Linked DNA regions of Styela clava. The protein of the gene in region 1 purifies or fractionates together with the protein of each later gene. This does not show direct contact. Links are inferred from orthologs where the notes say so. Each region holds a gene or a part of one and is shown on either strand. Other genes may lie near its edges. The genes, in order: uncharacterized protein LOC120331224, uncharacterized protein LOC120342705, uncharacterized protein LOC120328439 and ATP-dependent RNA helicase DHX8-like.

What was found.
Region 2: the proteins of uncharacterized protein LOC120331224 (region 1) and uncharacterized protein LOC120342705 purify together in Homo sapiens (co-immunoprecipitation; 3 studies listed by BioGRID and IntAct, with this or other methods). This does not show direct contact. The link is inferred for Styela clava from reciprocal best matches to the Homo sapiens genes RNPS1 and SFSWAP.
Region 3: the proteins of uncharacterized protein LOC120331224 (region 1) and uncharacterized protein LOC120328439 purify together in Homo sapiens (co-immunoprecipitation; 7 studies listed by BioGRID and IntAct, counting the BioPlex papers as one, with this or other methods). This does not show direct contact. The link is inferred for Styela clava from reciprocal best matches to the Homo sapiens genes RNPS1 and SNRNP70.
Region 4: the proteins of uncharacterized protein LOC120331224 (region 1) and ATP-dependent RNA helicase DHX8-like purify together in Homo sapiens (co-immunoprecipitation; 3 studies listed by BioGRID and IntAct, with this or other methods). This does not show direct contact. The link is inferred for Styela clava from reciprocal best matches to the Homo sapiens genes RNPS1 and DHX8.

Annotation. Positions count from the first base shown.
Region 1 is NC_135255.1:4,593,627-4,601,331, forward strand, and holds the start of uncharacterized protein LOC120331224, read right to left. Parts: upstream 3,108-7,705; 5' UTR 3,023-3,107; coding exon 2,937-3,022; intron 1-2,936. Other genes in the region: uncharacterized protein LOC120331194, read left to right, coding at 3,601-3,714, 5,737-5,835, 6,175-6,243, 6,659-6,729, 6,914-7,018, 7,210-7,370, 7,666-7,705. UniProt on the Homo sapiens protein: Part of pre- and post-splicing multiprotein mRNP complexes. Auxiliary component of the splicing-dependent multiprotein exon junction complex (EJC) deposited at splice junction on mRNAs.
Region 2 is NC_135252.1:3,297,361-3,305,129, reverse strand, and holds the start of uncharacterized protein LOC120342705, read left to right. Parts: upstream 1-4,754; 5' UTR 4,755-4,773; exon of another isoform or gene 4,774-4,835; intron 4,836-5,068; 5' UTR 5,069-5,119; coding exon 5,120-5,194; intron 5,195-5,387; coding exon 5,388-5,587; exon of another isoform or gene 5,588-6,249; intron 6,250-6,590; coding exon 6,591-6,660; intron 6,661-7,300; coding exon 7,301-7,394; intron 7,395-7,769.
Region 3 is NC_135256.1:9,929,253-9,937,406, reverse strand, and holds the start of uncharacterized protein LOC120328439, read left to right. Parts: upstream 1-5,146; 5' UTR 5,147-5,232; coding exon 5,233-5,313; intron 5,314-5,530; coding exon 5,531-5,662; intron 5,663-7,366; coding exon 7,367-7,486; intron 7,487-7,561; coding exon 7,562-7,624; intron 7,625-8,154. UniProt on the Homo sapiens protein: Component of the spliceosomal U1 snRNP, which is essential for recognition of the pre-mRNA 5' splice-site and the subsequent assembly of the spliceosome. SNRNP70 binds to the loop I region of U1-snRNA.
Region 4 is NC_135250.1:15,234,648-15,242,709, reverse strand, and holds the start of ATP-dependent RNA helicase DHX8-like, read right to left. Parts: upstream 3,046-8,062; 5' UTR 2,947-3,045; intron 1,952-2,946; 5' UTR 1,917-1,951; coding exon 1,823-1,916; intron 1,286-1,822; coding exon 1,130-1,285; intron 642-1,129; coding exon 513-641; intron 1-512. Other genes in the region: uncharacterized protein LOC144425897, read right to left, coding at 7,634-8,062.

The DNA.
Region 1 (7,705 bases):
GTGTGGAAGATGCGTTTCCCCAAGCTACAATACCATATTGAAGATATGATTGAAAGAGAGAAAAATAAACTAATCGCATAGCTGATGGGGTGAGAAACTTTTTAAGTTTGAATAATATACCTGCTGTTCTAGCAAGCTTGCCAGCAATGTAGTTAATATGAGCTGCCCATTTTAACTGGTTATTAATGTGTATACCCAAGTATTTGTATGAGTTCACATTCTCAAGTAATATACCATTAATAGTAATTTTAATCAAATGCACACTTCTTTCATTTTTTTGGGGATTAATTAGAAGTGATTTGGATTTTTCAATATTTATAGTTAGTTTGTTACTAGTCATCCACGTTGCAATTTTTTGCATTTCAGAGTTCATGTGTATTTGCAAGTCATTTGGCGAGACTGAACTTCCAAATAACCCGGTATCGTCAGCGAAGAGTTTGACCAATAATCTGGTGGCATGAGGAAGATCGTTGACGAATAATACGAACATTAATGGGCCAATTATTGTGCCCTGGGGAATTCCGCATTGTACAGTTGCAAGTTCGGAGCAATTTGATCCTATTTTGACATATTGTTGACGTGAATATAAATAGCTCTGGAAGAATTTTGATGCATGACCGCGAATGCCATAGTGGCTCAGCTTTCTAACTAATATGTGATGGTCGACAGTGTCGAATGCCTTTTTTAGGTCGAGAAATATTGCACTGATATATTCCCTTTTCTCTAATTTATCATAAAAGTAAGTTACCACATCTAGTATTGCATGATTAGTAGAGTGCTTCTTTTGGAAACCAAACTGTGACTTATTAATAATGCTATTTCGATCTATAAATTGTGTTAGTCTGGTATGCAAAAGTTTTTCGAATTCGAATGTTATGGTCATAGTCGAAAGAACTGAAATGGGGCGATAGTTGGTTGCACATTCTTTGTCTCCAGCTTTGAACACTGGTGTGACTTTAGCAATTTTCAAACAATTGGGAAAAATACCATGGTCTAGGGAGGCATTAAACAACTTACACAGCATGGGAGACACTATATCAGCGGCGTATTTTAAAAATTTGGCAGGTATATTGTCATACCCCACTGCTTTGCCATCAGGAAGACTTGCTATGGTGGTAAATACTTCATTGATTGTCGTTGGTCTAAGAAACAAGGAATCTTTCACTGGATTCTTGAGATTATTCAAAAAAGAATCATTAGAATGGGGAATATTTTCAGACAGTTTCGGGCCTATGGTGGTGAAATAATTGTTAAGGTAATTGGCAATACAAATTGGATCACATACAGAGTGCGGTCGTCTGAGTGTTTCGGTTAGATTGGTGGGTTTTGAATGTCTGTGTGAATGCCTCTGGTCTTCAGGGATGTTTGTCTGTGTTGTGTGACTGTCGGATGTTTTGTGCTGGACAGTGGGCTGACGTAGGGACCATGTTATTGTTTTTACCAGTACAGTGCCATTACAGTTCATTTACCGTAGTGTTGTATTTTCAGTTTTATCGTGGAATTAGCTTTCATCAGTATTGTTCAAATGTTGTGCACCTATAGAATTGTTCATAGTCTTTTTAAATGCCTGTCATAAGTTACTTTCGGCCTGTTTTGCAAATTGCAGTAGCTAGTTTATTGTACCAGATTCTAGGGGTCATTTGGTTTTTATTCAGAGTTGTCTTGGATTTCAGGTTTTGTCAGTGCTTTTGTTGTGTATGTGGTCTTTCTTGCATTTTACTGCCTGGTACCGGTATCTGTTATTTTTATTTTATGCTTTTCGTTCCTTTGGGAGTGTTTGGTTGTTTTGGATCGTTTACTGTTCGAGTTGTTAATAAATGACATAAAATAGCATAAAGACTTGGACTATTGAGAGAAAACTTGACGTCAGATCATATTAGAAGATATTCTGAACCTGGATAATTATTTCATACATTGCCGGTACGCTACAAAAACAAAATAAATAAAACTGATTATAGAATCGGGAGAGCAAACAAAACCTAAAGTACAGAAATAATGTTTGAAACGTACAGATGGAAAGGTCTTGTTAAAAGAAGTACTACGTGTTCGCTCACCCAAAAGTATTGAAACTAATTCTGTAATTAGAGCATGCACACACACAAACCAGACAAACACACAATCACGGAGACATGATGAGATCAGAAGTAAAAAAAAGCCGAAACATAAAATCAATTACCGGTACTTGAAAAAGTGAAAATATAGAAACAAATAAAATAAAGTTTTGCCACCCCATATTAATAGTTTTACGAGGATTGCCAAATTGGATAATGGTAACGTACCGTATAGGTATATACTGTGTATGGAATCTCAATTATTTCTTGGACATTTTTCACAAACTTGATATCATTTCCCTATTTTGACTTTTATTCAAATCTTGGGTCTAGTATAGTTTAGTACCACAAGTACTTCCAGTTGGTGTATCAAAACGAATTTTGCATATGTTAATCCTAACCCTCACCTTACTATGCCATTCAAAAAATATGTCGATACGACGTCACAAACACGTCATAGGGCTATAGTAGAATTACGATCGCCTGAAATGGCATCTGCGCCGCCGATAACGAACTCGCTTACGCCGGCGAGACTAATAAACATACCAGTACATACATACATCGTGATCGTTATGACGTGAAAACGAAAGAAATAGCTTACTCGATTTCGGGTCATCATCTGCGCGTTTTGGACGACCATCCGCATACTGTACTTTGGTGGGCCTTATTACGCCAATGTGACGTCAAAATGACGTAATTTTTCGGTGACGTAGTCAGGTGGGGTTTAGGATTGGCATATGCAAAAATTGTTGAGCCAGGCCAACTAGAAGTGCATGTGGTACCAAACTATACCAGACCCCAAATCTTGCAGACTGGATGCAGATTTTTTGTAACATACCGGTACCGGTACCGTACCGTAGTCTGATAATAGTCTACCGCACTAACCTGGAAGATGATCTAGCCTTTTTTCGTCCTCCGTCGGTAGTGTCATTCGTTGCTTTTTCACGCCCTCGAGCTGGACTTGGTGCCATTATGCTATCAAAGTGTTTACAAACAAATATGCAAAACGTGCTCGCGCCGAATACTTGCTTCTGTGCTTCGTAAAGTGGTAAAGCTACAAGCTTGTAGCAATGCGACCTTTGTGTGCGGCGAAGCAGAAAGTTCAATCATCTTTGCACGAATTTAGGCTAATTTCATGGCAAGAGGAAAAAATAATTGATTCAATATTATCAAACAAAAAGCTAAATAAGTTAAATTACATCAAAACAGCAGATGACCACATTATAAAAGGAATGCCCTTTTACAACAATATAGAAGAGATGAATTGAACTTAAAATCTGAAAAGCCTGTCTTTTCCCCGAGAAAGACAATATTTCATTGTTTTCGCATACCAATGGAGTGTGTTACCTGAAGTTTTTCACTCAACTCAAACCTAAACCTTATAAAGCCTTTTGACATTCAGGATATGATTGATAAATATGTCACTGCTGATTGGCATAAACATCCCGTGTCCTATTGTGACGTAATAAGTATACGATTTTGGGGTAATTGTAACTTTTTGCTTAAGTCGACATTTTATTCGGTATTTTTGGCAGCATGCTTGCTTAATATGCCACTAAAACGAAACAAAGTGGGTATCGTTACCCAAGACAACGACGAAGGACACAGGGTGTCATGCGGGAGAAAGAGGCGAGGGCGAAGATTTAGAAAATCTTCCGCTGAAGTAAGTTAACTTATTTTTCGATCTAACTAAATGAATGTAGTCAAATAAGTTGGTAAGAAGTGATGAACTTGAAATTATATTCTGGCTCAAAGTAATGCCAAGTGTACATATGCCGCATTTGTGAAGCAGAGTTCGAGTGCAACACCAATAGGGGTGGGTTGGCACACCTACACCAATCACGAGAGATCTTTCCAAGATAGCGAGCAGTAGTCTGAATATTTATCAAATGCTCACGAGTCAAATCAGACCGGGAAACACTGATAAAGATAGTAATAAAGATACCCTAGATACGCCACTGTCTGATATGGCTATGTGTTAGGACGGATCAATGAGCATATATACAATGAGTGGAAACTTGCAAAGATTTGCTCATTATGGCATTGTTCCCTGCATGTTTTACGTCGTCCAGCTAAATGGTTCGTTGCATATGGAGAAAACTCATTGCTCGCTGCCAAAATCCCTCTCTCCAGTAAGCATAGGCTCATAGTTGTATGCTTTCAGCGTACCATACTTCGAAACCCAAAATCAAATATGTATTGAAGAATTAAAGACCTCAAGTCAAGGTAATACGGCCAAATTCGCACCCGACTCGGCTGAAGCAAGGAATTTTGGCAGCGAGCAACGCGTTTTCTTAATATGCAACGAACCATTTAGCTGGACGACGTAAAAATGCAGGGAACAATGCCATAATGAGCAAATCTTTGCAAGTTTCCACTCATTGTATATATGCTCATTGGACGGATTAGCAAGCAAATTTATATTTCAACTTTAAAACAGAATCAAGGCGGCCTATATAACAATCAAATGAATTGCTTACCATGTCTTAGTTGAGTTTTCCCAATAAAAATATTATTTACTATACAAAATTTGTGAAATTCAACAAAAAGAAATGGCTACAGATTCTTACAATTTTTGCTCTCCATGATCTTTCAAAAATTCTCAAAACTTTTCAAAGTTTGAACCCATCACGACGGATTAGAAATCCGCTGCTTTCTCTTCCTCGCGTGTGCAGATTTTGCTCTTTGAGTGTGGACTGAGCCTTAAACACGCTCGTTCATCAGCAATGGCGGTAATGAAAATCCAATGATATTAACATCGAAATAAACATAAAATTTTCGTGAACATCAGAATGTCTTCAAACTTATCGAACACTAACAAACCAGTAAGTTATATGTGAGCCGAACGCGAACGCTGGTGGCTCGGCATGATGAAGCAAAGTGTAGAAGCTGAAAAGAAGCGTAAGAACCCAGAGTTTGAACAACTTCAGTGAACAGATCACTTGACTGTGTCAACATCACTTTCATAATATTTATATATATCTTCTATCCGGAAAATCGCTGAAGTAAAGGTTTTATCAGTACTATAATCCTTTTTCAGAGTAGAATGCGTATAAAACGCATAAAAGAATTAGGCTCTAATGCCTCCGTGAATATTCGTCAATTAAAAGATCAATCTGATATTCCACAATTTTTTAATTGGCCGTTGTTCTCCATGGCCATACCAGCGATTTTCCTATACCTCCTGTAGAGGGTGAACAGTTTCACTGAAATTTCAAACACTGAAATTTTGCAGTCGTTACGCAAGGGATATCGTCCATCCCAATCGCATTTTCATTCTTTTATGTGCTACTATGAGTCTCAATCGAGAAGTATGTATCAAATACGCGTACTTGGAGTAGGACAGAATCACTGCTTCTATTTGGGCTTCTAGTAAATCCCATCCCGAATAGGAGCGACTACTAACTCGACTGGTAATACATATTTTGACTAGGTAATAACAGAAGTTAAGAGTAGGCTATGATAATTGTGTCGTTTCCGGGAGAAATTACGACTCTCGACTTCTGGTTTGATGTCACTACTCCACCCAATGACGGGAAACTTAACGGCCCCACGAAGTTTAAAATTCGGAGTTTTAAATCTAGTTCCCAGGCCCGTTTTACATATTCAATGATATCAAGAAAGCATTCTTGAATATTAACGTTCTCGCAACACATTATTCAATTTTGTTAAATTAATTTCTTAGAAACAAGATGAAGCTTCATCTTATTTGACTGCGGTGCATTGTATATATGCATTTGCTTCATGGTTCGGCAGAGGAATGGTGAAGGCTAACAAAGTCTTGGTGAGTCCGGAAGATATGTAATCAAAAGTATATATATATATATATATATATATATGTATGATTTATATATATATAAATGATTGTATAATCCAAATACTATCGGATATTTTTCTGATGTAAAAGCATGCAACATGATACTTTATATCAGTCACTTTTACCAACAGAACCGTGGTCACGATGAATTTGTAAGTAATAGAATACATATAATTGGAATGTATGTATAGGCCTATGATGTGTTCATGTATATGCTTGTGGGTGAATCCTTGATTTCGTATTACAATACCTATATATGACAAAGTACTCTCAGTTCAATTCATTCATGTTAAATACTTCTATCAGACATTCTCTCAATGCCGTAAATTGTCGACCGTGGACATCGTGGACGAGGATGCTCACAGGGCCGACAAGGTATTATGGTATATATATCGTCTTTTATTGGTTAGAATAACGCTCTGCGATATATGGAATCTGGTTTATTTTACGAAACACTTCAGAGTTAATTTTTCAAATCACTACATCGATATGCATTCTGAAAACCATCACCCCCTCTTCAAGCGACAGTGTTATGATGAATCAACATGGTCGTAATACCACAAATAAAATAACAATTTTTATGGCGTGGTGCATATCGCTTCCGAGTTCAAGCTTTCTATTCAAGTCCCAAGGTCTGATATGTTTATTCAACCACTATTCGTTAGACTGTTAATAATCAGTTTCAGTCTGAAATAGTCAACGTGCGATGCTATCGTGGTTTTGCTGGCATCCATCAATTCCAAATGCATGAATCCACGAATGAATGTTGTTTAATAATTAATGTACACAGATTCCAAATACTAAAAAGACTCAGAACGATACCGGGATTCAAGAAAATGGAAAGAATCATACCGGAATCGGGTAAACAATCGGCCCTAACAATCACTGACCTCTTTCAGAGAGAGAGCCTTGTTTTTCTATGATACATACAGTTTAGATAAAATGCAGCCTAACAGTTCAATTAGATTGCGATCTGTGCAAAAATATAAATATATTATTTCAGAAATTAAAATAATTTTTTTTTATATGAATGATTTTTGTGCAGAACATCTACGTCCGGGGACGAGCAGGTCCGTGAGAAATTTTCAGAAGAGGACAATGCTCTTTTCCCACCACCTGTAATACCCGATGTTGCATTGCCAACCTCGAGGTTAGAGTTTCGCCAAAATTAGCTAAACAGGCCATGATAGATTAGCAGATATCACAACTTTTTATCAATGGCCGAGAAAGAGTTATTGAGTTCGAGAGTGATTTTTGATATTTATTAATTACAAAATGGCATTTTGCTCATAATTAAAAAATAATTTTCTATAAACTATCAGGCTATTAATATTATTCCAGAAATACCAGTAGTGACGACGTCGGAAAACTCTCTACAACGAATGTTGGAGAATTGGCGTCTGCATTATCGACTTCTCACGGTGATTCAAAAACAGGAAATATGAAAAATGAGACTGACCACGGCAATGAGAATCCATTTGTTGCGCCCCCAGTTACTCCAAGTATTCTAATTTTTTCTGTTTTGTGATATATATATAATTTTCAATCTGTGAGAATTGATTTTATTGTAAGTCTACTATAATTGCCCACAGTTGAGCACGCGCTAAACTTTTTCTGTTCTGTCCCTTTTGGGGGCAGAATCGTGTTGTCAACTCCCATGTTTACGCTGTTATTATGTTTGTCATCGACACACAACTGCATATCTGAAATCTTCGTCTAATGATAATTTGCATGGGATGATTATGTATAGACCTAATACAATTATATATACGGTATGTATGTTTTCAATTATGTTAGATTCTAAGACTATGGGAGTGCAGCAAGTCACGCCGCCACC
Region 2 (7,769 bases), on another chromosome or scaffold:
ACCGTAAAGTGTTTACTGCATTCATGTTTTCAATGATGGACTAAAATTTTCTAATATACTAGTTTCTTTATGTACATATTTTGTCTAACTAGCAATACTATTTACTTCCACATTTATTTATTTTGTCGATTATTTTCAATCGCCAATTAAATTTTATTATTTTTTACCTTTAACCGTCAGGTTGGGTCCTTAGGCTCTTCCCTCTTCACACGACGTCTCCGGCACCAAAGCACCTTACCACTATACTTCCACTTGTTTACACACTCTCGTATCCCTAACTGCGACAAACAAAACTATTTTATAATAATATAAATATGCCAAGTTATCGGCTTCCCCTCGCGGGATAAATATGAATTCAAGCTCAACTCAGGCAGTGTCTGTATTCCGCAGTATAAGATTTCGCTGACGTTGCCATGGTTACTAACAAGACGGTGCTCGGAGTCGTTATCCGTTTCTCCTTGGATCGGGTGTCTTTTGGGTATGCAGGTCGCCTCGACTTACTTTAACGTAAACCTGTTCTAATATTTATTGTTTGTTTGATTTATATATTACTGTTATTTATCTATTACTGTTAGACTTGTCATGGGTGTCGCTGCTCGATCACCAGTCTTGGTGTCTCGCGCCTCCCTTCGCCCTAAAGTACCATATTTCCTATTTCTTGTATTGTGTATTCACATTGTGTGCTTTAGAATGGTGAAAAAATAAATTACTGATTACTGATTCAAATTTGGAGATAAGCATAAAACCACTTTGGTGACATGCGTATCTAAAGAGTCATTATAGATATACTAGTTACATTATATCTAATTTTAATTGAAAATTAATTCTGTAACTTCCATTCTCGACAACAGTTGCGTATCTACAGGGGGCGGAAGGGGCAGCCGCCTTGGGTAGCACGTTGTGGGGGACAGCAGAACGAAAGTGTGGAGTTCGCGTTATTACACATGTTTTTCTCGATTTATTTTCATTTAAATAATAGCTGACATTATGTGTTTAGTCTTGTGTGACTGACTGAGGTGATGGTGAGTCAACAATGGATGTTTCTCCTACCATCAAACAATCATTTCAATTCAAAATATCCAACCCTGTTATTGAAAGTACCGGTAGAAAAGTTTAGCCGTGTCTATTACAGCTGTTTTTGGACTAATTTTTGATTACCGCTATTAAACAAGATGAGAAGCCAGTATAATCATTGGGTTCCATTATCTTTGCACCCACGTATATTTGAACCCAGGACAATTTCATCTTTATACTTTTGCACCAATGAACAATTGCATCCGCAGATTTTAGCACCTGCATACAGATCGCACCCATGGACATTTGCATCCACGTACGTTTGAACCCACGTACATTTGCACCCACAGACATTTGAAACCATGAACATTTGTACCTATGTACTTTTGCACTCACGGACATTTGCACCTGCAGAAATTTGCACCAGTGCACATTTGCACCCGCGTACGTTTGAATCCACGTACATTTGCACCCATAGGCATTTAAACCCACAGACTTTTGCACCCACTGACATTTTCACCTTTGTACTTTTGCACCCACGAACATATAAACCTACAGACATTTGCACCCACGGACATTTGCACCTATGTACTTTTGCACCCACGGACATTTAAACCCACAGACATTTGCACCCACGGACATTTGCACCCGCGTACATTTGCCCCAATGTACAATTGAACCCGCGTACATTTACAGTCATGAACATTTGCACCAATGTACAATTGAACCCGCGTACATTTACAGTCATTAACATTTGCACCAATGTACAATTGAACCCGCGTACACTTGCTCTCATGAACATTTGCACCCATGGATATTTGCATCTATGGACACTTGCACTCATGGAATTTTGGACCCGTAAACATTTACACCCTTGATATCAGTCTTTGAAGTAGAGAGGTTCTATTGCCATTTGTACCGAATTAGGGACACCCTAATGTTTTATTTTGTAATGAAAGCAAACTCAAAATGTCCATGAAAGCAAGTGTCTGTGAGTGTAAATGTACGTTGGTGCAAATATCCGCGGGTTCAAATGTCCGTGAGTGCAAAAGTACATAGGTACAAATGTTCATGGTTTCAAATGTCTGTGGGTGCAAATGTACGTGGGTTCAAACGTACGTGGGTGCAAATGTCCATGGGTGCGATCTGTATGCAGGTGCTAAAATCTGCGGATGCAATTGTTCATTGGTGCAAAAGTATACAGATGAAATTGTCCTGGGTTCAAATATACGTGGGTGCAAAGATAATGCCCAGGGTGCAAATGTCCGCGGGGGTCAAATGTACATGGGTGCAAATCAGTATGTTCCCCAGCTTTTCCATTTAGGGGGGGTGTTCGAAATTTAGGGGGTGGTAAATAATTTGCTATTTGAGATAAAACTAGGCTATTTGTATTCTTAAAAAAATGGTATGTATTTAAGAAACGATGTACAAGAGGGGCCCCCCAAGTTGATTGACGGCGAGCCAAAATCCACAGCAGAATAAAACTGTAGGGCCAGAAAAGGGCAGCGAGGAAAAGTGCGGGACGGCACGGCTGGGCGCGTTGGGAAAATTTTGAGAAATAGGCTCTAAGCTTGATTTTAGATACACCTAGCATCGCAGTTTGTTATGTAATGAAATCAATAATTATAATATTTAGCTGATAGAACTCCCGGGAAATAGATAATAAAACAAGGCTTTCAACCGTAACTATATACTACTAGGTTTTAACAAGTAATTTGCAACTGATAGTGACTAAAGAAGTTACTAGCTCATCTGGCATTGTATGAACGGCTACTTATGGCTTGTTTTGTTACACATTTCACATTTTTTTGAACATGTTTGTTTGACTTTTGTATGAATTATGCAATGAATTAAATTTTGAAATACGCGCGTCAACTGATCATAATGGCGCATAATGTTGTATTCCTTCAGAACTGAAATATTTTGTTGGTAAGAAGACAAATCGCTGAAATTTGATTGTTTTCAATAAAAAAATAAAAACGCTGTCATTCATCTAAAAAACGTCTGTTTTCGGTGCCTAGTTTTCGTTTTGTGACATTATTAAGCTTTCCTAATATACGGCTGATATCTAAAATACTGCAGTGTGTAATCCTAATACCCATACGTATACATAAGATACCGATATAATTCAATTGTTACGAAATAAACGTCCTTAAACTGTAATAATGATGTAACAATAGACGGTATCTAAAACCCAAAAGGTACCACATGAAGGGTTAAACTATTTCACTCAAGTTCGGCGGGCCATTTTAAATCGTCACGCGAGCCGTAATTGGCCCGCAGACTGCGGTTTGGAACCCCTCATCTACACTGATGAATATGCCATAGGCGTTATATTTGAATACAATTATACTTGAGTTAGGAATTGCAGTGTGGAATCTCACCTCAAAATTAGGGGGGTTGTTTGAAATTTTAGGGGGGGTGTTCACCCCCTATAGGGGGAGTGTAGGGAAATCACTGGTGCAAATGTCCATGGTTGCCAAAGTTCGTGGGTGCAAATGCCCGCGGTTGCACATGTACTGAGTGCAAATGTTCGTGGGTGCAAATGTGCATGGGTGCTGATGTCCGCGGGTGCAATCTATATGCGGATGATAACATCTATGGGTGGAAATGTAAGGGTGCAAATGTTCTTGCTTCATTGGTTGAGCTTGGCATGTTTTTCCAACTTTGTGCATTGCATATTGTTTATTATAACCAATCGGCTACTCAATTGCTAGTTGCGAACGATCTTTCTCAAAGTTGAAACAGATAAAAACGTCATAATTTGTGGTCTTCGATTTTAAATTAGTGCCTGTCAAGTTTATCTTTGATTAGCATCAAATACGGGTTTTGAGTAATCAAAAAAACGAAAGGGTATTTTTTTCAATTATGGAATGTTCACCGTGTTCAATAAAACAAAATAAGTGGAATGTCCAATTTCCGTCAAAAGCAAATAATTTACACTTTTGAATACCCTTTGGAAAAATGTTTTTTAATTAGGTTATAATTATAAATTACATATCTCCCATTGATCCCATTCGAAAAAATATTCGATTCGATTCTGAAATCATCAGGTAATTCCGAGAAGTGTTTTTCGTGAAATATGCCATCCAAAAAACGAACTTGGTCTGTTGACTATGTACATTGTACACTGAACAGCATGGCTTTACTTTCTCAACTAAACGCGACTCCAATGCGAAATGATATGAGGGTTGTTCAGTCTGAAACGAAGCCACGTATCTCTTCGTCATCGAATAAGCAGCAGAAGTGTCACTAATAAATCTAATGAATGAATAAATTTACTATTTGTTGCAATATATTATGCTACAACTAATGGCGCAACCGGGGGTTCTTTTGGTAGTTGATACTCTCTTGACAATGCAAGTCCTTCAAATTTAAGCCGAAAAAATAACCTATGCTCAACAGTAAGGCTGCGAATTCATATTCTATCAATTGAAGACGGGCAAATTTTCTATAAATTTGTACAAAATCAGCTTACTCTTAATAAGTTCAAGTTGCGCTCTTGGTTCAAAAATTTGGACTTGCGTAATAACACAGGGGCTCGGCAGGCCCACAAAGGTTACGAAACACTGCTCTACCCAATGGTATATTCTATTTTTTCCCTCCAACCCCAGAAAATTTAAAGTAATTCGATTGTATGGTGAAAAAAAATCAATTTTTGCAAAATTTATTACAAGATTGTGTGTAAATGACATTCGGTACAATTTTTAAACATTTGGCTGGAATTTTGCTGGCGTTGCGGTGGCGCACCTGCATCTGGTACTTCCTTCAATCTTTCCAGTGTTGTTGTCTAGTAGCAGTATCGATGGTGGCAGAGTTAGGGGAGTTGATTTAATTTGAAATACGAAATTTATAATCGAAAAAATTGTCTATGGAATAAAATTTAACAAAAAAAGAGTTGGGGGTGGCCCTATAAATGTTGAAATAAAATTCGAAATTATTGCTACTGTCTGCTGGTCTGGCAGTACCCGGTACCCGTACCGCAACGCTGTACCGCATCTTTCTGTCTGTTTGATATGTTATGTTCTAAAGCATGTTTTCATTATGGTTGCAGTGCCTTCATTCAGTCTGCGTCTTGAGTCTGGACATAAACTATTGAGTTGCTATGTTTTGGGATTCACAGAGAACTGGGCTCCCTGGAAAGCAACCTCAACGGGGCATTCTTAGATCAGCACTCAAGGTGAGCTAGATTTGTTGATATAATCTATTCTGCTATTAGTTGCTGTATAAGTTTGGTTTCATTCAACTAGTCTATTGCTGCATTAAACTGTTAAAGACTGAACATACCGGTATTATCCTTTCTAACACAAATAAAGAAAATAAGAGTTCGTTAATTCTGTAATTCTTTGGCATAATCCAATATTTATTTTTAGAAAACATCAAGACCTCAACCTAGTTACCATATTCGAAAACCATATATTCAAAAAGAAGAAGAAGATGACAATGAAGAATTGTTAGTCTTTGGATACGCTTGCAAAATATTCCCACCTGACGATCATGCTAAAAATATTGCTCGGCTGAATCATCTCATCCCTTGGAACGGAGATGAAAACTTACAGCTGATGATTGACAGGTGACTGCAGACTATTCCAGTTTTTTATGCTGGTTGATGCTGACATGCCATCATATTGACAAGCTTATTGTGTAGTCTATTCGCCTTACTGCCTTAGGGGAAAAAATAAAATTTCAAATAAGAATTCACTCTTCAAATAAACTACTTATGTTTTTTTAATCGAAGAATCTGTAGAATAAAAATTTACTGAAAAAAATTTGGATTGATGATTACAAATTGTTTGGATGTTTCCTGAACTGCAAATTTTTTTTGAGGTGTTAGATTTATTTGGTTTCTACTGCTGACAAATCTAGGGTATTATATGAAACTAAACTGGTTTGGAAGCTACTAAATTTTGATTTCAGTGAGCACATTTAAGCATGTATTGTAATGAATTCTACAATCCGAATAAGTTATCGATTAGTTAAATTTAATAAAACTATACAAGGAAGCAGCATATGTACCGGTGAGTGACATCTCAAGATCAAATAAGAAGAATTTTTGAAGCTACTATCGAGAAATTAGTAGTAATTAATGTTCTTACTAATGCATTTGTATTGTGTCATTTACTTAACTTTTCCAAGTTTCTGTTTTTATCTCAGAGTCAGAATATCGAATGAGACAACGAATAAAAGATATAAATTTGTCATCGAGTGAAGTACAGGAAATTTATGAACGAATAGGTGTCTGCAGGCGTCTTATGTGTTTCACTTTAAGATTTTTTCTAATTCACCAAAAAATTGTAAATTGCCGGACTCAATCTTAATACATTGAAGAATAATTTGGCCAAATAGTAATACACTAATCATCCATTAGAAAATATAAAACAAAGCATTTAATTTCGATGTGAAGGTAGGTACGTTAACGGCAGATTGCTGGAAACCTGATTTCATTATCTATTGAAGCAATGTCATAATTTATTGTAAAAATACGTTTTGCTATTGTTTTATTTTCATAATATTGCCAAACTCTGTTCTTGTATTAAATTTTTTTTATTTTTTTGTTTTATGTTGATGTGAAAAAGATATGACGGAAGAGCATCATTGCATGATCTTTCAGAATTTGATGTAGATTCTTGGAATATTCATTATGAAGTATGTAATCTTCTGTTGTTTCCAACTATTTTTTTAGGAGTGCTTATATATGATAACAAATATTATAGAGTCTAGATTGAATTTCATTTTTAATTGTCTTATTTAATTTATCCCAAGTTTCAGATCTATGATAATTAGCTGGTTCAATTAGATACATTATTATTTCGAAACTTTTCATGTAGCTTTGGTGTTGCTTGCTACTGCTCTTTTATTTAGTTCTTCTTTCAACTTGAGATAAGTGATTGTTGGCATCAAACTTACATACTATATATATTAACTATGCTTCAGTACGAATATATATCAAGTATCTCATGACAAGTAACTATATTATGTACTATGTATCACTGACCTCACTTTAACTACTACACCTACACAATGTGTAAATTCTTGTTTTGTTTTTCCTATATACCTAGTTAGATGATTTTTTTTTTACAATTTACTTTCATGTACTCTATATTCTAGTCACCATGCTAGATCGGAATTAGTGGTATTAGTGTAATACATTTTTTTGGAGTATGTTTGCAGTCTGTAGCTTGCTTGGCACTGGTATTTGTATTCTATTGTTCTAACCCAGTTAAACCATACTTGATATTGGTGATGGTGTAAATATGGTTGTTCATTTTGTTTGTATCATGTTCAGAAATCTGAGGAGGATGCAAGGATTGAACAACTGTGTGATCAAGAGAGATACATGGCATTATATACTGATATTGCAGAAGAGAAGATCAGACATGGTAAAATGCTCGATTAAATGTTTTTATGATGAAATCCATTTTAGCAGTTTGTTTAATCTCACTCTATCACAAATTTTTGATAAAACAAATCTTGTTCAAGCTCATAAAGCCATTTGACTTGATGTTTCAAATTTACGCCATCTAGATCTAGATTTTTTTATTCAAATTTATTTTGTATGCGCAAGGTTTTGCACAAACAGCCACTGCTAGAGAATCTTTCTCGTTTTGAACCCATGATTTTAACCATCATAGTTAAGTTATCTTTATATGATGTATATATAGGGTGTCCATAAAGTCTTCAAATTTTTGAAATTGTAAAGGGAAATTATCGATACCATATACGCTATAGTTTTGTCTCTCACAGATGTATTAAAT
Region 3 (8,154 bases), on another chromosome or scaffold:
TATAAGATAAGCTTATACTAAATATATATACAAAAAAGATAATTTGTCGAAGATTTCCAAAAAAATTACCAACTTGGAGTAAATTTTTCAGTGCAGTTATATTCAACCGGATATACCATAAATAAGCAGGAGTATACCAAGATAGATCCCGGCTATACAAATAGCAATTGGCATACGATGATACACTAGAGCTATAGCCTGATTCAAACAATCAAATTTCCCGGCCCGTTTTGAGTTTTTGAACGCGCGCAGGTCCCGTTCAACATCGGGCTCAATAATTTATGAAGTATTTGTCTGTCCACGTCTCGAAATTTCCGAGTAAAAGCTATAGTTACAAATCAAAGCCAATATTTCCCTTTTTTATTTAGCACATATAATATTTTGTGACCAGCGTAAGACTTCTATCATAACTTCACCAAACAACTTTTCTGCGCTATTTTATTAAATAATCTTGGTTATTTGCGAAGTATATACGATGAAAATAAAAAATTGAACAAGGTGTAACATGTAGTAAAAGGTCGAACAGCGCTATTTTAGCATATTAGATTGGAATATTTTGTAAAAAGCACTCAACAATAATGCAAAAATAGGCGCTCCTGAAGTATGCGTACCAAGATGTCGGACACCATAACATAGTATGTGTACCAGGTTAGGGTTAGGCCATAATTTTAGGTACAAATACTACGGGAGTCACATGGCTAGTCCCCGAACTCCCAAAAGAACTAAAATAAGGAAAATTGCATTAACATCATAGTCTAACCCTAACCTGGTACACATACTGCGTTCCGGTGTCCTCCATGGTACGTGTACTTCAGGAGTACCCCAAAATGTGAGATTTGATAAAAACACCTCCGCCAAGTTTGAAAATAACAAATCAGTAACTAGTTAGGGTCAGAAACGATTTTAAAATTTGAATTTCCAGCGCAATCTTCATTTTCGGCCCAAACCTCAAGCCAGTAGTTAATAATTTCCTTATTTTGAGGGTTTGTGTGAGTGTTTTGTTTTTGACCGGGGGATTTGTTCAACCTCCAACGATCCTTAGATTGAACCTAATTATACGATTAAAATTAAAAGATTCCGATTACATACTTGCTTTGCTGGTCAGACTCGATAGGCTTCTATCTCACTCAGACGAATTTCTCTTATTGATGACGTAGTATACTGCCTTGTCAACTGAAAGCTGAAAATAAATGTATGTGACATGATCGTCGTATTTTCACCCAAAATAATAACGTACAAGTATTTCAATTCAACAACAGCCTTTCGAAATTGTGATTCAACCATCAAGGAGCGCATTTTAAAACTTTTGCGTAGATAAATCCTTTCAAATAATTCAGAGATTTCCCCTAAATTTATGAAATATTACTTATTTGGAATGATCTGTCGGTACATTGTGTTGCATCTCATCTTGTATATGACTTATTACTTCTGTTAAGTATGTGGCATTACCATATTGATTACATGAATCCATGGATGTCGAAAAGTCAAATAAAATGTATAAATATTACCTGTAGATTTTCCCTCGGTTTCGTTACATCGTGTCTTAGCATCTTCAATTTCAACATCAACAACAATTCTGCATCTGAAAAGTTAAGATATTAATAATACACTGTTGCAGAACTTTCTAATGCGGGAATGGGAATACGTCTAACCACAATAACTAAAATATAAAAGTAAAAAAGCCAAGTATTTATCAATCTATGAATTTGGAGTTAAATTTGAGGTTTCGAAAGTTATCTATATTTCATTGATGTAAAGCGTGCCATGTGAAATGCAGCTTACGTAGTGACTTATATCGGGCGCGGCCTAAAAAAGTGCGAGAATCACTGAATTCTAGGATATATATAATATGCGAGGACTCCTGAGAAAATATCGAATATCTGATGAATGAAACAGCAGAGCTATTCCATTAACTTCGTATCTTTCGCTAACTCGTCAATTTAGAATAAGTCTCAGGTATGTTTAGATTTTTAGTTCATATTGAAAATTATAGGAAATTGTAATTTCAACCAGAAAGATTTAGAAATCATGTTTGTGAAAAGCAATATGTACAAAAATTAAGATAGTAAGCAACAACATTAACCAAATAAATAAAAAAATATAGAGTTTTAGGGAAACCATATAACAGCTTTACAAACGCTTGTTTATATTTAGCTTACCTGAATATTGTTCCAAAGAGACAAACTGATAAGGAGTAATATTCCAGCACCAACCACACACAAAATCGACCGCGCTTCATCATGTAACTTTGCTACTGAGGCGTTGTCGCTTGTGCTTCCCGCGCGAAGAGTGGACGAAAACGCTAATTAGTCCTTTGTAATTAAAAGTTTTTAATTAGTCCCGTTATTTCAGTATCTAACAACCCTGGATCGCTGCGAGCGGATCACGCTTGTGACACGTGATCACAAAACATAAACAATGCAGATGACATTTGGTATTTGCTTAATATTACTTGTTGTGACAGTTTGAATGCCCAATTTACACTAATTTCTCCATCCAAACCAAATGTTGGAGACATAACATACATAGCCATACAATTGAGTTACATGTGAAAATCCTGTTTAATTTTTCAGACCGATGGTAACAATTGATAAAGACTCGATTTAGCGCAGAGCTAGCCCAAACTGGAGTTGCGACACCGCAGGTGAGACGCAGCAAGTTTTGGGGTTGCACAGAATACTCGAATTTTACACACAGAGTACTACCGGAATATCTAATGTAAATTTTATACTTTTGATTCAAAACACAACTATTAAAACTAATGAAACGTATAAATTCCACTAAACATTGCATAAAATCATAGAAGCGCTGGGCTTGCATCGAACTGCAAAAGTTTTGGAAGCCCATATTGAACCAACTTTCAAATCAGTGATTCGTAACCTTTTCGAGCCATCAGAGAATCCTTTTTATTACTCAGGGAATTTCGTCAAACCCCAAAGTTCTGCCAGGTTGAACCAGAACCTCGTAGGGGGAGTGAATTTTGTGCAAGGTATAACACAGGGGTGGGTACCTTTTTCGGCTTGCGTGATAAAATCGGCTAAATATTTTTAGAAATTTTTTTGCGTGCCGACAAAAATTAAAAACAATGCTTTGCTTAAACATGCACAGGCAGATTCACTATTCGAAAAAAATCAGTCCGACGAATATATGTGATTACTTTTCTTATTCTATATATATCAGTATATGAGACTTCTACTGCTACATTAACGCTGATAGAGATTGGACATTGGGTTTAAATTTTGTAACTTTCAAAAACATACATGACATACCGGTTTCATGTTTTAGGCTACTTCTGTTACGAGACTAAATAAAGTTCATAGCTGAGAACAGAGATTCCCAAGTTTATGTAGAATAAAACAAAATATTTCCAATTGAGTGTTGTATTTCAACACAAAACACCGTTGTCGGGAAATATGGATATCGTTGGACATAGGTAGATTCCGGTTTTATTTTAAAGTCTTTCCCTACGGTAGAATTTTATTTTTTTTTGATATTTGTAAGGTAAATTACTATATATTATAATGCATCGATTTTATGGTGAACAAATTCTTATAATATTTTCAATTAAGTGTTGCATTTCGACATAAAACATTGCTGTCGGGAAATATGGATATCGTTGGACATAGGTACATTCCGGTTTTATTTTGAAGTTTTTCCCTACGGTAGAATTTTTTTTTATATTTTGGTATTTGTAAGATAATTTACTATATATTATGATATATTAATTTTATGGTGAACAAATCATTAGAATATTTCCAATAGAATGTTGTATTTCGACACAAACAACCGTTGTCGTGGAAATATGTATATCATTAGATGTTATATCATTAGACATGGGTAGATTCCGGTTTCATTTTAAAGTTTTTCCCTGCGGTAGAATTTTTTTTTTTTGATATTCGTAAGATAATTTACTATAAATTATAATATATTAATTTTATGGTGAACAAATTGTTAGAATATTTTCAATTAGGTGTTGGATTTCGACATAAAACACCGTTGTCGGGAAATATTGATATCATTCGAGAGATCCAATTTCGGGTTTTATTTTAAAATCGTTCCCGACGGTAGAATTTTTTTTATTTTTTGATAATTTTTAAAAAAGTACCATGTAATATGATTATTTATTTTTTGAGGAACAAACTTTAGGATCAATTTCAATTTATATTTGAAATTTGACTTGAAACACCATTACCGCGAAATATTGATATCGGTCGAGTGTGCTAATTTTGACTTTAAATTTAAAGTCTTTCTCTACGATAGAATTTTTTGAAATTTGTAAGATCATATACTGTATAATATGATAATTTAATTCCGTGATAAACAACTCGTTGAATCCTTTTTGATGAACTGTCGAATTTCGACATCAAAAGCCATCGAGACAATGTGTATCTGCTGGTGTAATGTTTTTATCATCATCATTTTTTTTATTTTACAAGATGTATTTGTGCAAATCAGGTATGGTTTATTCATAACTACATTTTATTCATAAAAAGATCAAGCACTTAGCTTAGATTTCAATTTTCCTAATTTTTAGGTCTGACGGAAAATTTCAGGCTTGCTTACCGTCATATCTGGCAACTTTGATTAGAGATATTATTGTTCAGTTGATTTTGATTCATTTTCCCGGCAATTGTGGCCATTTTGTGCCATCAATTGGCAGACTCTGGAAGGTTCTGGTGCTGATTAAAATGTGGATATGGGTAATTTAGTAATCTGTGAGCGTTTAGGATGCCTCAAATTACCGTATAACACTGTCAGAACGCCAGCCACACACTCGTGTGACGCTAGCCCGCACTCGTTTTTGTCAGGCCATGCTTGGTACCGGTATTGCATTTGCGTTGTAGATTATATATCAGATATGGTCTCTTTATTGTCAGAGCCACCAAGTTTTTATGTAATAACGTTTATAAAGCCAGTAACGTTAGTCTATTAGTAGACCTAGGAAAATTCTATTTTCAGTCTATTCCAGTATTCTGATATTCAAAAGTTACCGTACAGTTCAATACAATTTATTTCGGCATTCAATCTAAATTTTGTATCGTTCTGTACGGTACCGGTATCCGTTTTTCATTATAGCCTATTTCATGTATTTATGATGTGCTTTTCCTACTGTACCGGTACGGTACCGGTAATAGACTTTATATTATGCATGCATGACTGCATGATCGTACAAATTCAAAATTGAAATAATAAAAATACTAAATAATATTATTTTGAATTTATACAAGAATAATGACACAATTTCTGCCTCCCAACTTGCTAGCTCTATTTGCTGCTCGAGACCCAGTTCCGTACAAACCTCCAACTGCTCAGGTAAGTGAGAAATGATTATAAATATACCATATAAAACTGTAAAATGATTCTATAATCAGATAATCTAGGAATTTGACTTCATAATTTTGATATATTTATTCATATTATAATTGTTGTTAGTTCTTCAAAATATGTCTCATGTAATGCTGGACCCTTTATAGTATTTTTATAAAAGTATGAGGTTAACATATATTTTATGTTTCACATTGTTTTATAGCTATCATGGGAGAAAGATCGCGAAAAGAATCCATACTGTGGTGTTTCACAATATACCTCACTATTTGAAGATCCCAAAGACACACCTCCACCAACCAGGGGAGAGACAAAAGCAGAGAAGAAAGCCAGAAGGGTACTTTGATATTTAAAGATTGTAGCATTCAGCGGATGTTTTGAAAGTTTGGCAATCAAGCATTTTCATAGTCTTAATTTTATGTTTAACTCAATTATCACGACCAATATACTGCTCTATATCAGGGGTGACAAACCTGCTTTCGACCGTGATCGACTAGAATCTTCAAAATAGCTCACGATTGACTAATCGGAAAAAGGGTCATACACAAACGAATGGGTGCTGAATATGCAGATAACTACACACAGCATACAAAAATTTCCCCACTGCTAATAAGCTTGGATTTGTAGGCGCAATCCTAATGAAATCGTCACAAAAGTTTTTTTTTCATGTTCCATTATTAAAATTGTTAATTTGATAATCTAATTGTACCCGAGGTAAATGTTTCATCATTTGGGGTTTATTCAAATCACATAATCCAGATATAATGTTGGATGTTATATGACTGCTCGAACTTCAGTATCTACTTTATAATTTCCTCTGAGTGCGATTCTTCGCTCGCTTGGAATTGGAAAAAATGGGTATTCTGATGCCACTGCTATTATTGCTAATGAAATTTATCACTTCTCTCGTAGTTATACAATAACTTTCGAATACTGCAGAATAGGATTGTAGAATGTATTGTAGGATCGTGTTTCAGTCAAGACACTCAATGGCAGCAATCCTCTCGCACATAACCATCCCTGCATGGGATTCGAACCTGCGAACCCACGCAGAGTAGTTAGGGGTGCGGTGGCGAGCGTATTCCTAATGCTTAGTCCGTTGAGCCACACCGCCGCGCCAAACTTTCATTTTTTACAATCGACGGAATTGACTGCTTGTAAGGAGCACGTTTCAAACGCGAAAGCGCTCGACCAATAATTACGACTTTACGTAATTTGTAACTTCCCTTCCGTAACTCGAAACAATTCCGTAAATGACGTGCAAGCCTACTCCCACCTACTACTGTATGGATCAAAATGGACTTCTATAAGCTTTTTACTGACTGCCTTTTCTCTGTTGTGCATTAATGTGTGGTCTTATTTGCTGTGAAACTTTTATTAATGATGCAAGCACTGTGTAGGACTGCTTTATTTTTCAACATATACTTTTAATTGACTGAAACGGAATGTTTCTTTCTATTTGTATTTACTGCGGGTTCAGGTTGTAGATATCGGTATGTCCATATCGGTTATCGGTCACCAGTTGGCCGATATATCGTTATCGGTGCCAAAAAGTGATATCGGTCGAGCTTTACTCAATATTCAGCCCTTCTTTTTTTAACCATGGCATGGCGAAACTTCCATTTGTTGCTTAATAATATGCTCTCGGGCTTGCCCAGACTCAAATACTGTATATGTATATCGTATTTTGCGTATGTACAGTACTGTATTCTTTCAGTTTTTAAACACACAACTGGCGCTGCATGAAATTAATTCAAGACAATTTTTTGGGGTATGTTATCAAATTCACTCAACATCAGACGCGATTGACTACTCGAGTCGTGGTGATCAACTGGTCGATCGCTGTCTACGTGTTGGCCACCCCTGCTCTATACTAAGGTTTATAAGCATTTTTATCCCTACATATACATGACTCATGTTGGAAAGATACGACTCAAAATGCGTTACTGGATTGATTCAATCAGTACCTGATTGCGAAGTGCAAAGTATCCATATTAATAACATTCAACATCTTTTCTACCATTTTTTTCATTTCAAACAGATAAAAGAGAAAGCAATACTACGTGCAAAAGAAATTGAAGAAGAAGTTAAAAATTACGATCCCCACAATAATAAAAGTGCAACAGGAGATGCCTTCAAAACATTATTTGTGTCACGCGTAGTAAGTCTCAATTTGTAGCCTTTTTTCAATGTTCTAGTCTTCAATTTTAACTCGATATTGTTTCCTTTATTTCAGAATTATGATACCTCTGAGTCGAAGCTGAGAAGAGAGTTTGATATGTATGGCCCCATACGTAAGGTAAAGTAATTTATGAGTTTTATATTCCAAAAATTGGATTTTTGTTGCAAATTCAATTTCTGCATTGAATTAAATCTGATAGAAGCGTAAATTTTTCGCTTCTGTCACGGAGTTAATTTGCAATTTTTGCTTTTTAGTATCTTAGTTAGCGAGTGTACTTTCTTGCTTGCACATAGAGTCATAGGGGGATATATATATGGCAATTGCTGCATTATGCTAAGTGCTAGAAATATACTTCCTCACACCTCTGATTACGGACGCTACTAAAAAGATAGGTATCACAGGTATCAGTGACTAAAAATGTAGATAGCAGTAGTAAATGACCAAAAAGGTGGGGTCAGGGTTACTGATACCCTCCCTGTAAACCTACCTACCTTTTCACTTTTTAATTCATCTACTACTAGTTGATACCTACCTTTTTAGTGACTGATACCTGTGATACCTACCTTTTTAGTAGGGCCCCTGATTACCCTGGTCAGTTATTGGCTTCCTTTGACATCAGAATCATGCATCTGAAACAAATAACTGGT
Region 4 (8,062 bases), on another chromosome or scaffold:
TAGAATGCCCTTTTGTGACATATTTACAAGCTACATTCTTTCGATGTTGCTACAGTTGGCAATTCTTCGGTAATGCGATTTGAATAATTTATTTATCAGCTGATTTTGAATATTGTGTCATTACTGATGTTGATATCATCTCGTTACGGGATCAAAGTCATGCGCAAATGAGCCAATTTTTTGGTGCGATCTGAGTTATGCGTGTATGCGACCATTCTGAAGAATGCATGGACTGCAGACTGTTGCCATGATTAAAAATGCACCGTGTACCGCTACGCATGTTAGGCATTGGCAGTCGACTCATCAACCATATTACTGTGAGACAAGTGAAAAGAAAGTCAGGATTGCAAGTGGTGGCACAACTGCTATTTTCATTCGGAGTGACTTCGATCGATGATGGTATTTCGTTCATTTGTGTTTTAATTTTGAAATATTACCGTGCTGTTTTGTTTGGCTAGCATCTTTATTAAATTGAGATAAACTACCTTTGAATAGCCTAGTCTATACAATACCTGATAACAAATTCTTGACATAATCTTTATCATCAGCAATGCATAATGCTGGAAACATTGTCTTATGTCTGTTAAAATCGGGTCCTTTGTCATTCCCATCGCTTTTTGAATCATTTTTTAACTTTTTATCTGAAAGGAAAATATAAATGTTTACAAATATTATGCCAGTAAGAATTGTTTCAAATGTATGAAATTAACAAATGAAAAAAATCTACAATTGGTGTACAAACGCAATTATTTCATAGTAACATGAGACATGGATTCTACAACCTAAAGATTTTATGGTCTCAATTCAGAAAAAAGAACTACAAATCTACAAATTTATGTCAAACAGAAACAACATATTTCAACATTCTAGGAATCACAAAAATTATGTTGACAAAACTGCTCAGATGTGTAACATTTTCTACAGTTGTCAACGACCTGGTCATCATTTCTTCAGCTGAATAATTAGTCTCTGCCATTTTGGACAATATTCATTTAACACATACTATTGACATTCAGTTATTATCGAACAGTTACTCAATAATAACCAAACCCAAGCTATAAACAGTCTATTAGACGCCACATTACGGAATCATCCAAAAACCGAGAGTATATATGAATGATGGACATACTCTTTTTTCTTTTCTTTTGTGGTGGCCTCATTCTATGTATAAGAGACAAAAGATTTCTTGTAAAAGAATGTGGAAACTCTGCTCCATTTTTAGCTAATGCCGATGAGAATGACTCGACAGTGACATGTTTTCCAGCGAGATTGATGACAAATTCCGCTAAATAGAAATATTATAACTATTTTACTTCAGTTTCTTTGACTATGCATTCAATGAACTTGTAATCTCCCAATCAGCCAAAATGCTTGCAAGTAAGCTTTATATTAATGAATTCAGATATTTATTTTGTTGTCCAAGATATATTGTAACAACAAAATTAATCAGAAATAGTATTAAAAATAAAAATTGAAATAAACAGACATACAATATTGCCGCAAAAGGCCACCAAAGTCATAGTGTCAGCGACACTGTCAAGTATTCAAAATATCCAAAAACTTTTAAATTAAAAAATTTACAAGCCTGATTTTTTATTTTCTAACCTTCGGTAAGGTTTTGTTGTACGAAGACACCTAACTTATGCTATACACCAACAACTGGACCATCACAGAAACATGCTAATGTGTCAGGTTGTTCAGTTAATAAAAATGTCTGAGATGCCACCAAGTTTACTGAACTTATAAACTTATGTTAGAATGTGTCGAAAAAATCGATGCTTACTGAAAATTGGACATAAGAATGTAAAAAGAACTACAATACCTAAATCTTTATCGTTCATTCCAAGATGGTTGTCTAATTCTGTACAAACTTTCGACACAAGAGAAAGATATTCAAGTTTTTCCAAGTCATCCATAATTTTGCATAGATGGTCCCAAAATTATCTAAATTCTGAAATTACAAAATGCAAGCAAAAATTACTACAGTTAGTATTACATAGTGCAGTTTGTCAGCAGCTCTTGGCGTAATTCTGCAGTTCTGTAAAGCAAAAAACCATACAGCCAAGATGCTTTAGTTAAGGTACATCTGGTATGTAAAGAAGAAGGGAAAAAGAGAACGGTCTGGTCAAGTACACGATATAACTCTGATTCTATACAAGTATCAGATTTATAGACCTTCCTTCTGCCAGTGTCACGAGTGTTATCTTCGTATTGCTGTATTGAGGTTTCATTATTCAGTTTCTAATGGGACAGAGAAAGAGGGATTTTATTTTTTCGTCAACCAAAATAATATAACAGTCATCGTACTAATAAAAATAATAACAATCAATTAGTAATAGTAGACAGGAGGGAGTAATACGACCAGACGATCATCAAAGTCAACTCCCTCTTTCATGCTGTTATGTTTACAGAGTTTAACATTCACAATTTCAGATGACTAAATAAGAGGTAGAACATCTGGATTTACATATTTATCCAAAGAGCTGGAAGGAGAGGAAAGTCTATTACCCCCCCCCCCCCCTAACCACATGCTGACATGGCAAACCATGGCCTCACGTCCGGGTACCATTCCACGTCGGATACCGTATGGGATTAGTTAGTTATTTGTTTTAGGAAGCATGAACTTGATTCTAGTATTTAAAATTATATTCACAAAATGGAAGAATGAACTTGGAGAGTAATTCTGGAACGCTAGAGTAAATCATTTTTATTTGTGTAATGTCACAAAAGCATCTTCATGTTGAGGTTTCAGTACAGCAATATCAAATCCTTATACTGTTATACCTGAATTTGTATAGGTCTACTGTGATAAACCGAATAAAAATTTGATAAGCTACAAGGTAAAATTTTGGTTACACAAACAGACATAATTAATATGAATTTAAGCAAACAAACATAGGGCCTATAAAAAACTTAAATCAATAACATCAGGGTACGGTGGCTTACCCACTTTGCGGCCACAACCTATTTGCGACCATCACTTCATCGATTATTACTGCCAAAAAAATTAACGAGCCGCGACGATATTTCTCACGCGTTATCGTCACTGAACTGGAAATATATTTATATATCTCTGTGGTTATCGTCCACTTATCCCTCGTAGCTCTGCGAAATTACACTAAAATGCGGCCACAACAAAAAAAGTTACGACCGAAAACCCGACCGAAGAAAAAAAACGGACTGTTTTCCCATGTCGCCAACTATCCATTGTTCCTTTAAAAAGCTTGAAAATTCATACAAATATAGGAGATAAAGAGATGAAACTTGGCAGGTGGATAGAGTTGTGTTTCTTTTTACCATCTTTAAAGTGGGCATGGCTGCGTATGCCCTAGTCTCGATGCAGCAGAAACGATGTTCAAGGCTTGAAAGCCGTGGTCGCACACTGGTCGTTCGGTCGCAAATACGTCTTCAGAGTGTCGTACTTTGGTGGTTTGTATTGCTTTAACCCCTGGTCGTAGAAAGTTAATTCGAGGTTTAGCTTGTAGAATAAATGCCGATGCACCTACAGTGAAAAAATTAACGGGTTAGAAATATTGGTTTTTGTTTTATAGCGGTTTGAATGAAATCGTCCGCAGATTGGCTACACCACCCTAGTTCCATCAGCATCAGGCACGTTATTTCCAGATAATCCATACGGCAACCTGGCAACAGTGTTCAATTTTCTTAATTTGTCATATAGAATTATAGATTATTGTTATATACAACTTTACAAGGTTGAATTTTATAACCTCTATTCGTGGGAAATCGGGGTGCACAGTTCAGGTACGGTTAACTTACCTAAATCTTACTCGGCTGAGTGGCGCATGTGCTAAGGGTCAGGAATACGCTCGCCACCGCATCTCTGATTACCCTTCGTGAGATTGCAGGTTCGAATCCCATGCGGGGATGATCATGTGCGAGAGGATGGCTGGACTCCTCGCCGCCGTAGGGTGGTTCACGTAACCGCTGGTCGGCTACGGCTTCCTCCACCATCGAGTCCATGCTTCCGAAAACAAATAACTGGCTAACTAATCCCATGCCCGACCTGGACTGGTAACCGGACGAGAGGCCGTGATTCGCCATATGATTAAGCCGTCTTATCGGCTTTCCTCTCCCCCGGGATAAATATGTGAATCCTATCCTATCCTATACTTACTTGTACTTTGCCTGATGCGGGATTCTCAGAAAACGACGGCAACGATGCCTTTTGGCGTAGGTCAAAAGTTGCTTAATTAGTGCGATACTCGTGGTGTGCAGCGTCCGGTTGCGAGTGGGAGTCGTGACTCATCTAAGGCCCATGGGCCGGGGCCACAGCCCATCGAATTGGGCCTCGGCCCATCAGGCTATGGGCCGCGGCCCATCAAGTTGTGTAAAGGGACTATTCACTTGGCTAACACAGACAGTCCTCGAACTCATAATAGAACTATAATGTGAAAAATCTGAACAAAATTTTGTCCTAACCCTAACCTGGTACACATACTACAGGAGTATCACTGTTGGTAGTTTGGTATTATGCTTTATTTTTATATAAATGCTTATCGTAAGAAAAAAAAATTGGTAGCATCCCACGATTTTTTTTGGTTCGAATATTTACAATTTTGTAAAAATTTGAAAATTTTGGTAAGATGATTGAATTTTTCCTGATGGGGCCACGGCCCATGTGGCCCAATTAGATGAGCCGTGGCCCCGGCCCATGGGTCATAGCGGAGTCACCACCCCTGTAGCCGGTTGCCGTTTGCCAAATTTGGCCGGTCTTCATGTTTTTTTCATAATTACTGAATATATTCAGTCAACTTTGACTTTTTCAAATTTTCCGTGAATTGTGTAAGTTTTTGGTATTTTGCCTCATTTATATTGATTGCTACATGGGAATTAAGTGCTTTCAGTGTCATGTTAATCATAAAAACTGTGGAAATTTATTCACTCCATTAAATAACGTTTTTTTATTCATAGCTTTTACATATGCATTGTCTCTGTTTCAATTAATGTAAATAACCATGGCCAAACTGATGATGTGTTAGCTCATTTAAAATTGTCACTGCATGAAAATGCTAAGATGTTTAAGTTTAAATTGAAACAATTTATTTGTTCGAATTATACAGTAATATTTGAATTTCAATTGGGTAAATGAACTACATCCTGGTATTGTTATATCTTGAAGCTTGTGAAATCAGGTTCGGTGGGCTGTAGTATCTGAAATATTTTTATTAGCGCATACAACTAGAAAGATTTTCTGGTCATTGAAATGGGTATTTGAGCAATCCTGACAAAACTCGAACATTCCCGCTTCAAATTAGCGTTCTTCTAGGTTTTGTTGCACCGTTATGACCACGATGTTAGCACTGTAGTACTATAGGGAGAAAGAGATGTGATGTTGATGGGATATAGACTATCACCCTATATGTTTAAGTTCGATTCCCGCGTTATTGTTTTGACACGCGTTATGGAATGTGACTCCAATCTGGACTCCTTCAGACGATAATAAGCACACAGTGTTGATGCTAATCGTTATTGTATATTATAGGAAGATGCACAATCCAAATTCCGAAAACAGATAAAATTGAGACACACTTAACTCTAAACACAGTAAATCAAGAGTGAATCAAAACACATCACACTTAACGCAGTAAAACAGAAGTGGATCTAAACACATCACACCTAACGCAGTAAAACAGAAGTGGATCTAAACACAATATTATGCAGCCCTCTCGGCAAGCCGGAACGATACGTCATCAAATTGGTCGATACGAGAAAGGCAGTACATGTAATCAGTAATCAGTGTTGCTACAATAAAATGACCTATTGTGGGGAATGGAACACACTATTAAAATGAAAGGGTTAAATACATTATAATTCATAGTTACACAATGCACATTCGCTACACAATTCCCCCTCGACAGTAAAAAAAATTAACTTGATAATTTTTTTAAATTTGAGTCCGGCCGCCGAGAGATGAAGTGAAAGAAAACAAAATAACACGAATTAATAAAAGATATCAGTACGATATAATGAGTAATGGTTAAGGTATACAAGAGAATATACGCCATTTACGAGAGAAAACAAAATACGAGAAAAAAAATTCAAAGGGTCTCTCTCTATGTTGCTTAGAAATGCTTAACATTTTAAAATGGAATTGTAACGAAATAGTAAACAAAATGGCGACAATACTTGAGAAAGAAAGGACCTAAAAGAATCTAAAACACTTTGATGTTTAAAGGAAGGGCCTGAGAAGAAAAAAATTGCGGATTTAGTACTTGAGAATTACACCGAAATTGGTTTGGTGTTTAAGATTGTAAAATTGGCGTTAGAGGTTATTTGAAATAAAATAATAAGTAAGAAAAAATCCTGTAAATTGAATAATGAGTAATTTGACAGATTCTTGAACCATTGAATCCCTGAAATTGAACCTGAATCAAATTCTATATGAAGTAAAAGAACTCGTGATATCTAAAAAACAAGGCATTGATTAATAACAAGTAATTACACAGAAAAGAAAACTGACACTGCACAATTATTTTATTTGTATGTTTTTTTTTTTTTTTTTATTTAAATTCTTATACTAAGGTGTTTTGATGTTTTATAGTGGATAATAATAATAAGAGAAAAGTAATAAAATACAAAACGATTAAATTGATAAAATAAATACAAGATGATTAATAACGAGGCGACACATTGCGAGATACACACCATATACAACTCGCAACGACCTCCGGAATCGAGTTGACTTAATAGGGTGGGGATAAATTAAAAGGTTGTTACAGTCAAACTTTCGACTCATTTGAGCTTGGGTGCTCGCACCTGAGAAGTTGCTAGCATTTTCCATCGATTCATCGTCAATTTCGACATCGGATAACTGGTGTATTTCTTGTTGTTCGTTGAATTGTACTACGGTTTGTCGTGGTATGCTGAGAAGTCGTATTGGTTGCAGCAATCCATTTGTTAATGTACGGCGAACGGACATTCGGCAGTTTGGCAAGCTTCGATAGATGAAATAAAGCAGGGGTACAACGAATAAAGCGTAAATAAGGCCAAATAGCGGCCACGCCTTTATGACGTAATCTGACAATGTCTTCGCAGTTGTCATTTACGTTTAAAACTAAGCCATTGTATGCACAATAGACTTCGTTTGATTCAATGCAAGATTTCGTTATAGTTGAGAACAAGTTTCGAAGGTTTGCAATGATCGGTATTTCCAATCGGTAAGATTGCCCGATGCATTGTAATATAACAAGAATTCGGTAGTGTTGAATTTCGGAAAGTTGCGAGCTCTACAAGCTTTCGTATCTTCAACATTCCAAACAAATGTAAACACACCTTTCCGGCAAAAACCAGAATTGGGTGCGCATTGGCTGAGGTATTTGAACGTGTTTTTGGTTGCGCTTGACGAAGAACAGCCATGAAATGGTTCGCCAGTAGGTCGTTGTACGTTTACAAATCTTGGTATCAACATTTGTAAGAAGGGCAGATGTCTCGTAGATGTTTTCTGAACAATTCTTCATTGTGTGAAGTTTGTGTCGGTTACAAATAGCTAGTTTGCGTATGTCGTAAGTCTGTCCATGTAACGATTTGTGACATAATTTCAGTGGTCCCTCAACGGCTTGCGTACTCATACAAAGCATGACAAAGCAAAATATTGTGTAGTAAAATATGGTCATCAGATATCCATCTGAAATTCGCCTGATAGAATAAAGTCTTTGCTTAAATGGCGTGGGAGTTTTCTCAGCCTTCGCGGCCGATTTGATTGTTGCTGATTTGACATTTCCGGAGACGGCCCCAGTCGATGTGCTGAATCTGTAAAATGAATTTCTGCATCGCAATTTGATCGTTTCGTGCTTGTATCGGATATCGTATCATTATTATTTGAAATATTGAAATTGAAAGTCCGTGGGCGCGAAACAGTGACATCGCTCGCCGGTGGTTCATTTGATTTGGCGCCAAGATTCCTATCCTCAATATCTGCATGCCATAGGTCAGAAGTTGGTAGGTGTGCAACTTTTAAGTTGTCAATTGAACATTCATACGGCTTTGAGTTCCGGTCGACGATAAAATGCTTACTTCCACGTTTTAAGACCTGGAAGGGTCC